Linked DNA regions of Pelodiscus sinensis. The protein of the gene in region 1 purifies or fractionates together with the protein of each later gene. This does not show direct contact. Links are inferred from orthologs where the notes say so. Each region holds a gene or a part of one and is shown in the gene's direction. Other genes may lie near its edges.

Region 1 (7,945 bases):
TATAAATTAACTCATTGACTTGTTTCAGGAGCTAGACTTTTTCTCCTCTACAAGTATGAAGTGCCTGGGCATGACAACTGTGAGCAGTAGCAGTGAAACCTACTTGCCTAAACAGAAACTGTTCATCCATCAGTGATGAGGTGGATGAGTATGGGGAGGGAGTGGTGGGGGGGATGAGGAAAGTTGGTAGGGGTTTTGTTTCCATGCCTCAAAAGTTTCCTCAGGAAACAGGATTTTGCAAAGCTGTTTTCTGCAGTGATGCAAGGTCTGGTTGGGTCCATCCACTGAGTATAGGTAATTAAAATGCTGCTTAAACAGTGAAGGCACTTCAGAAGCTTCAGACCTTCTAATTGACTTCTGTAATGGATATTTTTGAAATTATGCATTTTTATCCTCAACTGAACACACATTATGAAACTTTTTTCACTGCCATGATGTTTTACTGAGAGACAGCCCCACCTGCTGGCAAAAAGAGAAATTTTACCTGCTAATATAAAAGGGATTTTGTACTTCCTTCCCTTTTACTATTATTGTGAGACACTGCTATAATCCTTTCAAGGTGACAGTGAAAAATTCAGCTGTAACAGGAACAAAATAGGTATTAAACCAGAATAACATTTTTGTTTTGAAATATAAAGTTTTAAGCTTAAATTTTTATATATTTTTTGTTTGCCGGCTGCTCTTGAGAAGCTGAAGAGGTGCAGGCTGAAGCGGCTGCAATGACAAGACTTAGTCATTAATTTCCTCACAATCCAAGAATGAGATTAAGTGTTAATGCTTCTGATTATTTTCTTTGTATGTATTTTGTATTGTATCATTTCCTCCTCCCTTGTATTCAGACTGCACATGGCCTGCAGTTAGAGAAAGATGGCACATATAGTGCAACCCTTTATTGTTCACTAATTTTCACTGTTGTGAAAGTGATTTAGAATAAAAAAATGGTTTTACATTGACCTAAGCTTATGTGGATTCCCTCTTTGTAAGGAGGGGCAGTTCCCATGCCCTGTGTTACTTGGAATTATCACTGTAGTAGTCAGTACTGTGAATAATGGCAGAAAAATTTAGTTATTTTATATCCATATATTGTGGAAAGTGTTAGCAGTATCAGATCTGCTGTTTGTACACCTGCACTGTAGGATATATGTCCATGATGTATTTTTCACTCAGAGAAGGAACCAGCTGTTGCTGTCTCCGATAAATAGCAATGAAACAGTCTTTGAGGCTGCTGTATTTTAGGCTTAGAGCTGAAGATGCTTTTGTGCTAGTATATATATATATATATATATATATATCTATACCAGCTATTTCTAGGCTAAACAAACCATGATTCTGAAATGCATTAACGGGGGTATTGTGAGCAAGACACGAGAAGTCTTTGTATCCAATTCTGGGCATTGCCTTTCATGAAGGATGTGGAGAAATTGGAGAAGGTCCAGAGAAGAACAACAAAAATTATTAAAGGTCTAGAAAAGATCTACTGTATATCTGAGAGAGTTGGCCATCCCTCTGTCTGTGTGTTTGTTCAAGAACTAAATAGGAAGAGGTAGGACCACCAAATTTAGTATACAACTTCCTCATATAACTTAAAGCAAGATAAGGGTTTAGTTGTGCCAGGAAAATGGGCTGTGCCTGGAATAGGATTGCTTCTCATAAAACCACACAGAAAAGAGACAGAATCACCAGTGAGGTGAGAGGTGCAGGGTGGAGGTACTGTCAACCCCACAGGTGCCCTTTAGTGGGGGGAGGGCTGAAGCCTTCCTACCCCCCCACGCTCTGCTCCACTAGGGATGTAAGCAAGAACCCAACTACCCAATAAGCCTCAGAGTTAGGACCCCCTCTCTTCCCACAGACAGAGGCTGCTTGACCCAGCATGAGCTGGGACTGAGCAATCCTGACTCAATCCTGGCTCAGGCCATGTCCAGGAGCTATGGCCACTGTGGCTCCGCAGTTTAAATATAGTAAGAGCCGGGAGCTCTGGTAGCCCAGCTCCTATTACATTTAAACTACAGAGGCGCAGCAGGGGTAGGTTCATGTAGTCAATACAATTTATATCACCTACGGATTAGAGTATTACCCATTCTTAATATCCTTACCCCCCACCCTAATTTGTAGGGGGACATTGCTGGGGAGCGAGGGGAAAGTGCAGTTTGCTGCATACCTCATTCTTGCTGGAGAGCGTAGGGGAAGATGGCTCTCGACCTGGACCTGTCCAAGCTGGAGGACATACACTCCTCCTCAGGCTATGCCTGCTGGAGCTGCAGCAGCCATGGGGAGGTACTTCTCACTTGGCCCCAAGCTTCTGGAGTGATAGGGGGCTGAACAATTCCTCTCTCCCCAGGGCAGCCTGCATACTGGGGAGGTTAGTGGCTAGATGGATAACCATTTAAGTAAGTGCTTATCAGTTAACCGTAGTGATTAACCACAAATTCCCTCCCTCCTCTGCATGCTCTGCATTAAAAACTTGGACCTGTGCACTGTCTCACTCCCAGCCTGTTGGGGAGCCACCTGCAGCTTCACACTGCTGCTTCTGATACAGAGGCAGCAACATGGGGCAGCAAGAGGGAACCAGTCCAGACCAGGTACTGGTTTAAAAACTAGGTCTTGCCTGCTTCCCCATCCATGGGATGCTGGAGGAACCTCTGTTGGGATGTCAGGGTGCACCCACCTGCCATCCTGCCTCTGTACCAGAGGCAGCAGCATGGGATGATGGGGGGATGCCTGGGAGTGGAGCCAGGAATGCACTGGCTGCTGGCACTGCCCCCAAGGACCATTGAATAATCATGTAACTACTAAGAATGGTTGCAGTTACATGATTATTAAACATTTTCTAACATCCCCATTGCATACTGAACCCCTCAACACCAGCCCCACCCAGAGCATTGATTTAAATGAAGCATGGACATTTTCAGTTTATTTTCCAAAAAACAAAAAGTTTGTTAAGCTGAACAACACTAGGTAAATCTTCTAGTGACCTATGGAGGAAGTTTGAAAGAATTTGGTTTGTTTAGTCTGGAAAAGAAAAGACTGAAAGGGGACATGACATAGCTTTCAAATACCTAAAAGGGTGTTACAACTAGGAGGGGACAAAATGTTCTCCTTAACCTCTGAGGATAGGACAAGAAGCAATGGGCTCAAATCGCAGCATGTGAGGTTTAGGTTGGATATTAGGAAAAACTTTCCAACTGGTTAAGCACTGAAATAAATTGCCTACATAGGTTGTGGAATTTCCATCACTGGAGATTTTTAAGAGCAGATTAGATGCCTATCTATCAGGAATGGGGGAGGTTGTGCGTAGGGAACCTTTTTTGCGTTGGGGGCCATTTTTAGCCCCGGGCCTTAGGTTCCCCACTCTTGGTTTAGGTGTTTGGTCCAGGGGACTGGACATGATGCAAGGTCCCTTTCAGTTCTAAGTATTCTATGATCTGTAAGATTAAATTATGCCTCTTTGAATAGAGAAAGTAAAAAAGCAGAGGTTCCTTTACTTCATTCCTTATGTCTTGAAAAAATGTACAGGCAGTCCCTGGGTTACATGGATCCGACTTACATCGGATCCCTACTTAAAAATGGGGTGAGGCAACCCCGCACTAGCCGCTTCCCCCCAGCAGACCAGGGAGACGCGAAGCTAGCGCCTCCCCCCAGCAGACCAGGGAGACGCGGAGTGGCTTTTCTCAGCAGACACCTCAGCTTGAGAATAAAGGACTGAGGGAAGTGAGGTGTGGGAGAATAAAACTGAGCTCTGGAGAAATGTTTGGCTAGAGTTTCCCCTACATTATGTACCAGTTCTGACTTACATACAAATTCAACTTAAGAACAAACCTACAGTCCCTATCTTGTACATAACCCGGGGACTGCGTGTAGTATTAACCTTTTGGAAATCAGGAAGCTCTCTTACACGTGGGGTGAATTTCCTCAAGGAGGGGGACTTGTGAATGGCCTGATTGGAGTTCTGCCTGCATGCCACTGTCATGGTTGAAAGAGTTATGCTATCACTAGGGCTATGTATACACTGCAGGCTTTTTGCACAAGAACAGCTGTTCTTGCACAAAACCTTGCAGAGCAGCTACACTGCACACGTATTCTTGCACAAGTAAGTTTATAGACCAGCATCAGAAAACAGGGTTTCTTCCAGAAGAGTTATTCCTCTTCCCCTGAGGAATAAGCCCTCTTGTGCAAGAGCTCTGCCACAAGAAGGCCGTGTAGACAGGCAACATGAATTTCTTGCACAAGAAACCCCTACGGTTAAAACGGCCATCAGAGCTTTCTTGCACAAGAGAAGTCCACACTGGCAAAGACACCTTGTGCAAAAGCACATGGCCGTGTGGATGCGCTCTTGTGGAAGACCCTTTGCACAAGACCTCGTGTGTAAAACAGTTCTTGGGCAAGCAGCCTGCAGTGTAGAAGTAGCCCGAGCAGACCTGAGATTTCAGAGGAACATTAAAAAACAAACAAACCCGCAGGGTAACAGGCTAGGCTGGGGGGCGGAGTAACCCTGTCAAGGCACCGCACCCCTCCGGGTTAACAACAGGGCGGAACAGGACGGCGCCAAACATCGGCACCGCAGGCAGCTTGAGCCCCGGCCCCTTGCAGCGGCGTCTGGCTGACGCCCCGCCCCCAGGCCGCCAGCTGCTCTCGCACGTGCGGCGTTCCGGAGGCGCTGGGACTGAGCAGAGCTGAGCTCTGATTGGCCCCCTCCCGAGAAGAGGGCGGGCTGTGGCGCGGAAGTGGCGGGGAGAGTGGGGGGGTGAGTTTCTTATCAATGGGCCGGTCGGAGATTGGCCCGTGACCATAAAGAGGCGGCGCTGCCAGGGGTGGGCGGGGCTGTGATTGGCCCGCGGCAGGGAAAGGGCGGGCCCCGCCTCGGGCCAGGTGCATTTGATCCACCCCGCGCCCCGTAGAGGCTGACGTCACGGAAGGCTGGAGACCGGCTGGGGGCGATGGCGGGGTCGCCAGGTGAGGGGCTGAGTTCGGGTCTGGGCGCTTCCCCCGACCGCCTGCAGGGCGCGGCTCCGCCGCCGGGCCGGGCCGCCTGCCTGCTGGGGCCGCTCCCTGGTACCCGCGGGGCGCCGGGCTGCAGCCCCCTCCCCGGCCGAGGGCATCGGCCCCGCCCCCTCTCCAGGGACCGCCCCGCCCCCTCCTCTAGTCCGGCGCCGCCCCGCCCCCTCTCCAGGGACCGCCCCGCCCCCTCTCCAGGGACCGCCCCGCCCGCTCCTCTAGTCCGGCGCCGCCCCGCCCCTCCGCAGTCCGGTCCCGCCCTTCCTCTGGGACTGACACAGCCTTGCTCTCCTGCACCCTGGGGGCTAGCCCCTCCCCTGGACCGGCACGGCCCTGCCCCTCCCCCCCTGCAGTCTGGCACCAACCCCTCCCCTGAGACTGGCAAGCCCTGCACCCTGCAGTCTGGGTTAGCCAGTTCGCTGGAACCTGGTACAGCCTCTTCCTGACCTAGGGACCAGTTACGGGCCAAGCAATTGGTCGTAACTCGGTTTGTTCGTAAGTTGGACCCCATTGAGTTACATGTGACCACGCTGTTCATAAGCGCGGATCGTGTTTGTAACTTGGGGTGCGCCATTTACAACAGCTTTGGTCGTAACTGTGAACGGTCATAAGTCGGCCGTTTGCAACTTGGGGACCAGCTGTATAGCTTCTGCTCATGTGCTCCCTGCGTGTCCAGGGCCACCTTCATGGCTTGGCGGAGGCAGCCAGTCATGCTATCTGTCTTGAGTGCTGGACTGTAAGGCTTGCTTTTTTCTCTGGCATACTGTTAGCGGGAAGGGGGTGCTGCAATGTAAACAATGTATGGTCCTACAGCACCTTAAAGACCAACAAAATATGTAGATGGTGTCATGAGATCTTTGTGGGCACAGCCCACTTCTTCAGATGAATGGAGTTTATTAAAGGTCCAGTTCCAAAATAAATAGGGCATGGTGGAGGGGAGAAGGAAAAAGGAGGAAAAAAGTTAGGCTTGTTCATGCTACATGAAGCTGGTAAGAACAATTTGCACTTTCTCTAAGTACCCATTGTTTGGTCTGTTAAGTCATTAGGATGTAGATGGTATAGGATGTAGATGGTAGTGCGCTAGCCAGGTAACATCTTTATGCATACCTTTGTGAAGGTCCTAAACTTGTAAATGAAGTAAAGTTCCAAGGCTTCCCTGTTTTGGGTGGGGGAGAGACTGATTTAGGCTGTGACTGCAGACTAGCAGGGCACAGAAGTCCACATTATTAGGTCATTATTAGGCACAACTGAAAGCTGAGTGTGCAGCTCCGTTAGCTGCTGCATGCAGCATCGTTGATATGTATGTGAATTCAGAGTGACCCTGCTATTTGCAGACTGCATATATTTTAATGTTCACCGGCCTCTGACATCCTTTTCTGGCCAGTGGAATCTGGGCATCAACTTGAAGCTCAATTTGCACTGTTACTTAAGCTGAAAGACTGTAAATGTCTCACTTGATAATGTAACTTTCCTGTTCAATCTCCTCTTGTTTCTTTCATTGGTTATTACAGGTCCCCCTTAGTCTTAAATATTGATCTTTTATAACACTGTTTTCTGAAACTTTAGTGAACTTTTCAGCAGAATTTCCCAACCTGCCTAGTAGGCATATTGTAGATACATTGGCTGTGCAGCACACACAGCAAGCTTGAGAGGGTGATATTCAGTGGTTAATGTGCGTGGTTCCCTGTCCCACTCCTCACTGCTGCCTCTGACACAGAGGCAGCTGCCTGGAGGAGCAGGCGGGAGCTGGTACAAGCCAGCTCCCTGTCTGCACCAGCTCCTGGGGAAGCAAGTGTCCCCTTCTCCCCCCCCTCCCCATGTGTAATTGCTCAAACTTTCAGCAGTTACATGTTTACTTTAATATATGCATGTTAACATCCTTGTCTCTCAGCCAATGTTATGTACTATCAGCATGCACCTCACTTCATGTGCCCTTGCTTTACATGCAGGTTATATTGGTAGGGGAAAAATGAAACAGATTAAAACTGGAGGAATCTGGCAGTCCTATTTGCGAGCAATGGTAAACAAATTGTCTCATGGGCGCCACTCAAAACCCCAATGAGCTGTGTGTGGTCCTCAGGTTGCTCACAGCTGCTTTTAAACTCTTCTCGCTTTGAAAAGTGAGGGGTAGCAGCAATGTTTGTCTGCATCTGTAAAAACAAAAAGTCCCCTTAGCACCTTAGACTAACAGATTTATTAGGGCATAAGCTTCCATGGGTAAAACCCAGTTGGTCTGACTGCATCTTTGTCTAATATCTTTGTCGTTGAGGGCTCTCTCTGTCTTATTATCTGCAAAGGGTACACTTAAGTAATGAGGCATTTCCTTTGCTCATTCATCACAGGGCATTCTTCTTTTCATTGGGGGATTTTGAGTTCAATGGCATACTTTGTTGATTACATACTGTTGTAAGATCAGGGCCTAAGGCATAAACCACCCTGACCATACTTCTGTAGTCTCCTTCATCCTTATTGTTTCCTCATACCTTAGTCAACAAGTGATCACTTCAGTTGAAAATAGAATTTTTCACTTTTTGCTCTCCTAAATTGTTGTTGCATTCATTACCACAGCAATGCAACATCTGTTTAATGTTCACTTGCTAGGTAAGTGATTACTGAGAACTTAAGTGAATTTGACAAGTCCTGTATGTTACCTCTGGATGACTGTCATTGTTAGTTAACTGCAGTGCAGTAACTTGTGCCTTTAAACTGATTGGGGCAAAGGCTCTTGTGTACAGTATGTTGTATGCTTATGATACTAAACAGAGGGAGATGTATGTAAAGAATCAGTATCTTATGCACAGACTGATTTGTCCAACAGGAAGTCTAGAGCTAATTCACCTGGCAGTAGTTTGATTATTTTATTTACATTTTTGGGCAAATTGAACAGTTTTGCTTCCTGTCCTCTTGTGCTTGGGAAGTTACACATGCATTCAGGGAATTACCCTGTACTCTG
Region 2 (8,139 bases), on another chromosome or scaffold:
AAGAAACAGGGCAGATGTGGTTTGCAAAGTGTTACTGAGTGAATGAGCCCACCACCCTGTGTTCTCCAAATAAGTGCCCTATCACCTAATCCACTCCAGAACCCACCCCACTGCTGGGGTGTCCCTTATCCTGCCTTCCTAATGCTGGAGCCAGCTCCATCCCTGGGACAATTGGTATTGGCTGCCCCCCAGCAAATGCTGTATCCCCTAGTTCACTCAAGGACCCACACCACCTCCCTACCTTGGGGGGGGGGGGTCCCTTATCCCATGTTGGATGTCTGGTTTCTCCCAAGGTGGAGGACAGGACTGGAACCAACCACCCTGAGCTCCCCCAGCAAGTATCCTATCGATCATACTCTAAGCCACTCCAGAACCCCCATCACTACCTTCAGGTGTCCCTTAGCTCCTGTCTTTCTAATGCAGGCATCAGCTCCCATCCCTGGAGCAACTGGTGTTGGCTGCCAGGGCACTGCCTGAGTGGGGGCTGGGGAGTGCTTGAGTCTACCACCCTGTGGTCCCAGAGATAGATCTTACAATACACACAAAAAGCATGTTTTTGCGCAAGTAAAATAAAAGAACAGAGGGTTTTTTCCAGTGTAGGTATTCCTCATTCTACAAGGAATAACTCCTTTTTGTGCAAGAGTTCTTGTGCAAAATGGTGTGTGTGGATGGGCAACAGGAGTTTTTGAGCAAGAATTGGCCTCCAGGAAAAAAAAAGGTGCCTTGGTGGCCACTCCGTCCAAGGTAATCAGAACTCTATAGTTCCTGTCTGGTGGCCCCCCTTAAAGCTGCAGGCACCCTGGAAAAGCCTTGTGGCAGGAAGCCAGCCAGAGAGCAGGTCCCTCACCGTGCGGTTCTCTCTTGCCACTGGATTGCCACACATGACAGATCCGGAAACCCCCTGAGGCTCCCCATGACCTTCCAGGGAGCAGCCGCAGGGGTCCCAGGATCCCCCCCAGGGGGACCAATGCTTCCACTTGATCCGGGTCTGAGATAGCAACCCTCCTCAAATTGTGGGGCGAGGAAGAGTCGCTCCAAGATCCCTGAGCCAAGCGGCAGAACGCCGAGATTTTTTCAATGATGGCCGTATCCCTGATGGAGTGAGGTCACCCTGCCTGGACCATGGAGCAGGTCCGGAGAGAGGTGAAGGAGCTCTGTCAGGGTATGTGAGGGCCACTAAGTGCAGTGCATGCTCAGGGGCAAGACCCCACACCTGCCCCTACTATACTGACCTCCACCACGTCTTAGGGCATGGAGAAACAGCTTCCCCACCCAGCATGGTGGGCTCAGGGCAGGAAACCCCAGTTGTCATCTGCCCAGAGGTCGCCCCTGAGGACGAGCTGGAGGGCCAGGGCCAGCCCCAGCCAGAGGAAGAGGAGCAGGAATCAGAGATTGTGACCCTGTTCCTCAAGCTGGTCACTGTCAGCCAGGACGTCTTCCAGGCCTCCTTGGATGTCTGGGAGGGATCTTCAGGTGAGCTGTCACACACACACAGGGTGGAGGAGGCGGGCACACAGGGAGCAGGGGGTGAGTGTTGCTCGGGCTGCACATGGTGTTGCAGTCTGTGCACGTGCAACCACATGCAGCGGGAGAGTGTGGCACGCAGACACAACAGGCAGCCCCTGAACACGTCTGGGATCCTGATATCAGGCTCAGGGGAGGGCACACACGTCCTGCCCCCCGGGGAGAGAGAGGGTGCTCCCGGTTGGAAGCAGGCTAGCCACAAGGATACAGGCACGACCCCAAACACACCCAGGAGTGCTGCACAAAACACACAGGCGTGCCTGCACGTGCAAGGCAGTTGTCACTCCCACAGACAGCACAGCGAGCCACAGCTATGTGTGCAGACCCCAGGGAGGGCCAGGCTGCTCCCGGCTCCTCTGCATCCCATGAGGGGATCCCACTATGGACGGACACTTCCCTTGCCTGCCTGTCTGTGGTGTGTGTGGGGGGGAGAGGGTGTGAAATTGGGCAGCATGGTCCTTTGGGCACATCGAGGCCCCTGTGAGACAGGGCATGCTATGGAACCTATACATGGCCTTGCACCCAGGACATCCCCCTTCTGTGGGTCGCAGACTGTTCTGGTCGCCGCTCACAGAGGAGGGCACGGCCTCAGGGAATGTGTGTGCAGGGATGACTGACAGCCTTTCCCTCTTTTGTGGGCTTTCTCCAGTGCTGTTCGCCTCCTTGCAGTGTTTGGTCAGGCTCAACTGGACCATGACTGAGCTGGTCAGCTTCGGGTGGGGAGTATGCCAGGGGTATCCGGTGTTGGGCCAGCTGTACGCTATGGCGATCAAGCCCTTCCTCTGACTCCTCCACCACAGGTTGACGGGGTTGGTGCTCCAAGAATTAGAGCTGCGGCTCATCCTGTCAGCGTATGCCCATGATGTACTCCTTATGGTCTAGGACCTGGGCGACCTGGTGCAGGTGGAGTCCTGCCAAGCTGTCTACTTGGTGGCCTCCCCCGTCCAGGTCAACTGGGTCAAGAGCTCTGGCCTAATGGTTGGGGATGGGTGGCAGGCAGGCTCCCTCCCACCCATGCTTCAGGTCGTCAGATGGAGCGTGGGTCCACTGCTTTATCTTGGCATTTTTCTATCCGCCACACATCTCTCCCCGCAGGAGAACTGGCAGGGTTTGGAGGCCAGGGTGGCTGAGTGGCTGTGGAGATGGACAGGACTGCTCCAGTGTCTCTCCCTGCAGAGGTAGGTGCTGGTGCTGAACCAACTAGTCCTGTCCATATTCTGACACTGGCTCAACACCCTGAGCCTGGCCCCAAAGGTCCTGGCCCGGCTCTAGAGGATAGCCTTGGAGTTCTTCTGGCCAGGACTGCGCTGGGTCTCTGCAGGGGAGACCTCTCAGAGCTACCAGAGTTCTACCAGGAACTCGTTCAGACCTGGAAGCTGTGTGCAGCGACCAGGTTCATTGTGGCCACCGAGGGATCAGACCTCCTCGTGGAGCCTGTGCTTCACAATCCAGCCTTGTGCGTTCAGGTGGTGGAGTCTCCCTCGGTGCACCTGAGGTTGATTCTGGCAGAAACCACCAAAGTCGGAGATCTCTTGGACTACGACAGGGGGGATTGGGAGGATCCCCGTGTGCTCGCTTGGTGCATGGAGCTTTCCACCCTTTAAACCCCCCTGCCCATGATTCAAGTGAAGGTGACCTTGTTGCAGCCCATTCTCGATTTTCTGCAGCAAGCCCTGTGAGAGAGTACGCCCTGCCCCCCTCACTGCAAAAACGTCCTCCCTTTTTCTCGGGTCCCTGTTACGTGTCCCCCCCACCCCAACCTTGCCATCCTTGGATCCCCAGCCAGCTACAGGATCTGCAACCAGTCTATTTCTGAACTGCGCCCAGAGACCACCTGTACACGCTTGTGATCCACACGTTACATTTCCTTACCCTCGTGTCCCACCCCGACACCATATGGATGGACTATCTAAGATTTGTTTAGGGTGAGGAACCTAGATGGGCCAATGTTTATTCCACCTTAATCCCACAGCCCAACTGAGTCATCAGTTGGCGGCTTCTCCTTGAAGCTGTGAGCACGGGCATGCACCTGGCACAGTTCACCCCCAACCCAGATGCCTGCCACGTTTGAGGTGTGAGGGAAAACCTGGCACATGCATATCTGGAATGCATCAGGTTGCAGCCCCTCTTTTGGCTCCTTCAAGACCTCTTGCTGAGGTTCTGGCTACACTTTTCCCCTCACCTTTTTATTCACGTACTCCCCATCCATGGCCCCACAAAGTCACAAGACCTTCTCAGCAACCTACTCTTGCCTCTGGCAAAATCTGTTATATATAATACCAGGAGGAGAATGTTGGATGCGGGGGTGCTCTGCAACTGTGGGACCTCCTTCTGTTCCTCCCTAGTTTCACAATCCAGGTAGAGTTCCTCTGGGCGGCGTCTACTGTTTCCTTGGACAGCTTCAAAGAGCAGTGGGCACTGTCTGAAGTTCTCTGCTCAGTGTCCCCATCTGCTCCCTTGTTTTAAACCTTTGACCTGCACCCCTTGATCCTGTTTTTCATCATTTGTCCTAGAGATGTTAACTATTGGTTATTTTACTAGTTGATAGAATTTCCATCGACTACTCAATTAGTCAATAGGCACTTCCTCCTTTGAAATGTACAAGTGCCCCAGCAGGAATGTGAAATGCCAGGTGCAGCCTGGGGCCAGCAGGAAGTCCAGCTGACTCCAGGCTGCAGGCAGTATGCCAGCTTTGAAATGTACAAGAGTCCCCAGGGGCAGCTCTTGTGTATTGCAAAGTGGCAGTACAGCACAGAGAGTCCCCCGCTGACCCCGCTGCCAATTTGAAATGCCACATGGAGCCTAGGAGTCCTGAGCTGACCATAGTTCCGCACAGCATTTCCTAGAACCCGGAGGCAGCTAGAGACTCCCTAGGTGATCCCGGGTTCCGGGGAAATGATGTGCTGGATCCAGGGATCGTCTGTGTGGTGCTGCCACTTTGAAACACTGAGGCAGTGTTTCCAAGGGACAGCACCGCCACACAGCTCTTTTTTTCCCTTCTTCTCCCTCCACAAATTTTCCCCGGTGGCTTTTATTTTTCCTTGAAACATTTTTGTCCGTTTTTTTTAAACCATCTGGCAACCCCAGGGGTTAACTGCTCGCGAGGGTCAGTGCTGGAAAGCTGCAGCTCTGAGGCAGTTAGTTTTCGGAGAAGTGCGCTCCCTGGCCACGTGGTTCTGCAGAAGTTTGCGCTTGCCCTGAGGGCCTCCCAAAGACACGTACACTAGCCCTGAGGTGAATTAACACTGGGCGGTCGCTAGAGCTAGGGGCGTGTTCTGCCTTTTTGCGAAGGCTGGGGGTTGCCAGGGCAGGCCACGAGTCCCGCAGTTGGATCGTGGCAGCAAAGGCAGGCGGGCACGAGAGAGACTCGTGACCACCGCACACGCCCTTCGCGCCAACACACGGTTTGCCGTAACACAAGATGGCCGCCACCTGTGCGAATCCGAGATGGCGGCCCTGACACGTTCCGGACGGAAATTCCCAGTCGCGCTCAACTGGGATGGCTACATTGGGTGACGTCACGGGCCCCTACGCCTCTTCCTCGTCCGCTTTCAGACAGCAAGAACCCCTCCCGCTTACTCCTTCCTCCCTGCCACGGAAGTAATTGTTAGGTCACAGGTATCGTCACAGGACTTCCGTCCCAGCAAGCCCCGCCCCGCCCGTGAACATCTATTGGCCGGGCGCGGCAGGAAGTGATGGGCGCGGAGGGTCAGTGATTAGAGGGGACGTCAGTCGAACTCGGCAGTAGGGGTTGTAGCGAAGCCGGTTTGTGCTGGGGGTACCCCTCCCTGCCAGCTGTATGGGCACGGGGCGCTGCCCGCATCACCTCGCAGCGTTCCTGGGGACTGAGCTCATGGGGCGGGGGACCTGGACTTGGGGCAAGTGTTGGGGCTGCTGATCTGGGGTGCCTGGCTGTCGGGGGTATTGGCAAGTGTGTGTGTGGGGGGGGGTGCTGATCTGGGGTGACTGAGGGGCCCAAGGATGAGGAGCGTGGTCAACGCTGTTCTGGGATTGCCTGGAGAAAGTGGAGGGCGACTGGGAAGGAAATTGATGTAGGGGCTGTGGGGGATGGCAGGTCAGAGGCATGCTGATGTGGGGGTGTTTGGGGCTTGGGAGCAGGGGTAAGTGTGGGGCTGCTGCATCAGTGGATCTGTGTGAGAATGGGTAGGGAAGCCTGGCTTGGGTGAGGCGTGATGATCCTGTCTGCAGGGTCGGTAGGCATCCAGGGATGGTGATGAAGAGAGAGAGGAGGCGTGAGTAACTGCTGCGTATGCAAGGGAGTTGTCACAATGCAGTGATGAGCTAGGGCCCACTGTGGTGAGCACTTACCGCCCATGCACAAATTTAACTATGGGAGTAGAGGCAAGTGGCACTGTTGTAAGCAAAGTTGTTCAGTGTATAAGTGTTGACAGGATTGCTTTGGGCAAGTGATAGTAATTTCAGTGCTATGTATCAGTTCTTTGTCTGTACGTACCCAAGAGATGGGCAGTGTAAGGGTAAACTGTAATTCATGAAGTACTTTGAAAATGTGTACTCTACGTACTGAGGATTATTATTTCTCCTTTATTTTCAAAAGCTTAATCCTTTATGAGATCCCAAAATGAATGAAGAATCCAGTCCACCTGAAGAATTGCTCCGTGGCTTAAAGCTTTCTGATCAGAAATCATCAGAGAGCACCAGTCCTTTGACAGTTGGTTTCAAAGATGGACATTTTCAAAGAAACCTGGACCAGGGAGACAGGCATTCTTCTGCCAAAGAGGCTGGAGCAGCAGAGGAGTGCTTTCATGACTGTAAGGACTCCTTTGAGGTAAAGGAATCAGATATGGAACAGGAGAAGCATGCAGATTTAGATGAAGAATACTTATTAGAACTGGAAAAAAACATGCCAGAGGAAGAAAAACAGGTAACCTTTTTTGAGATTATCTGTTTTAATGTATTAACAATTTTTAAAATTCTAAACATTTTCTCTTTTTTTACATTCAATGTGCAAATTAAATTTATGAATGCTACTTTTAATGCTTTTAAAAAGAAACTGGCAAGTTAATTCACTTAACTTTTTTTGTATTATGAAGAATACCCTAAAGGGACAATGTCAGCTGAAAAAAAAATGCTTTCTGTGTGCTTTTTTTTTTAAGTGCTACATTGTCCTTCATTTTGCTTCTGCTTTCTGTGTGAATTTTTTTAATCTTTTTTTGCTATAAGTAATAACTAAGCCCATTATAACTACAAGACTGTTTTGCTTTTTCATTTTACTTTGTATATTTGACAGCAGTTTCACTGTTTTTGCTGTTTAAGACTATTCTCTAATCACTGACTGGGTAGAAAGAAACACTGCAAAAAAAAAAAAAATAGCATGATTACCCCCACTGTGGCTCTGCAGAATGGTGCTTATTGGCTAATCGTGTAATCAGTACAAATTGATTAGTCAGATAACTGCAATTTAACATCCCTAATATTGGGGGATGGAAAGAGTGTATTTGTGTGTGAGTGGGTACATCTACACAACAGCGTTATTTCAGAATAACTGACATTATTCCGAAATAACATAGTTTGCATCTACACTGCAAGCAGTTATTTCGACATAATGGTGAGCTGGAGGACTTCTTGTTCCAACTCCTGTAACTCTTATTTTACAAGGAGTAAGGGAAGTCAGAGGAAGAGTGCTCTTTCTCAGACTTCCTGCTGTGTAGATAGCTTATTTCACTTTTTGGCACTATTTCATCTTGAGCGATGGTCAGTTGTGTAGCTTAAGTAGCGTATCATATTTCGGCTTTAGCCCTGCTGTGTAGATGTGCCCAGAGAGACCTGGCTGGTGGAGAAATCTTAGGAACAGAGCACTGCCTCTTAAGACAGACATGCTTCTCAGTCACTCGTCATACTTCAGACTGGAGTGTGTTTCCCTCTCCCCAAACCCTGCTTTGCAGAGATGGGGTACAGAGGCAGGGGAAACCCTGACTTCAACACTCCTCTTTTTCCTTCTCTGCACAGCTAGCAGGAGGATCTTGGGAGCAGCTCAGCTACAGGACTGAGCAAAATGCAGGGAGGGGCAGCTGAACATATACTGCCTGCTAATCAGCTGAGTGGGCCAGATGCAGCCAGTGAGTTGTATTTTGCCCACCTCTGATGGAGACAATGGTGATATATTTTTTACTCTCGTTCTTGTTTTTTTAATGCCTAGCACAGTGGTAGGGGTCGGAATCCAATTTGATTATTAGGCTTCCAGGCACAGTACAAATAATTTAATAATATAGTTTGAAGGCTGTTTGAAAGTTCCTATAATGAATACCTAATTTCTAGTAAAAAATGAATAATAGAAATTAACCAGTAGGAAGAAGCTAAGTCTAGTGGCTGGAGAACAGGGTTGGGATTCAGGAGTTCCTCAAATGATTTCCTCTCCAGATTTGGGCAAATCACTTTACCCTTCTTGTTTCCATTTTTTCCATCTCTAGAATGAGCATTGGGAATGTTATTATTTGCCATCTACTTTGACATTGTCTAACAAAAGGTGCTACAGTAGTGCAAAATACTAGTGACTCTTCATTTAACGTCCTCCCAATTTGTGTTGTTTAGATGTTATGTCCCTGCACTTGGCATTGGCCACTGTCGAAAAACTGG

What was found.
Region 2: the proteins of LIMK2 (region 1) and TTC1 purify together in Homo sapiens (affinity purification with mass spectrometry; 3 studies listed by BioGRID and IntAct, counting the BioPlex papers as one, with this or other methods). This does not show direct contact. The link is inferred for Pelodiscus sinensis from reciprocal best matches to the Homo sapiens genes LIMK2 and TTC1.

Annotation. Positions count from the first base shown.
Region 1 is NC_134725.1:8,457,905-8,465,849, reverse strand, and holds the start of LIMK2 (LIM domain kinase 2), read left to right. Parts: upstream 1-4,783; 5' UTR 4,784-4,934; coding exon 4,935-4,950; intron 4,951-7,945. UniProt on the Homo sapiens protein: Serine/threonine-protein kinase that plays an essential role in the regulation of actin filament dynamics. Acts downstream of several Rho family GTPase signal transduction pathways.
Region 2 is NC_134727.1:15,204,242-15,212,380, reverse strand, and holds the start of TTC1 (tetratricopeptide repeat protein 1), read left to right. Parts: upstream 1-5,079; 5' UTR 5,080-5,232; exon of another isoform or gene 5,233-5,402; intron 5,403-6,100; 5' UTR 6,101-6,124; coding exon 6,125-6,427; intron 6,428-8,139.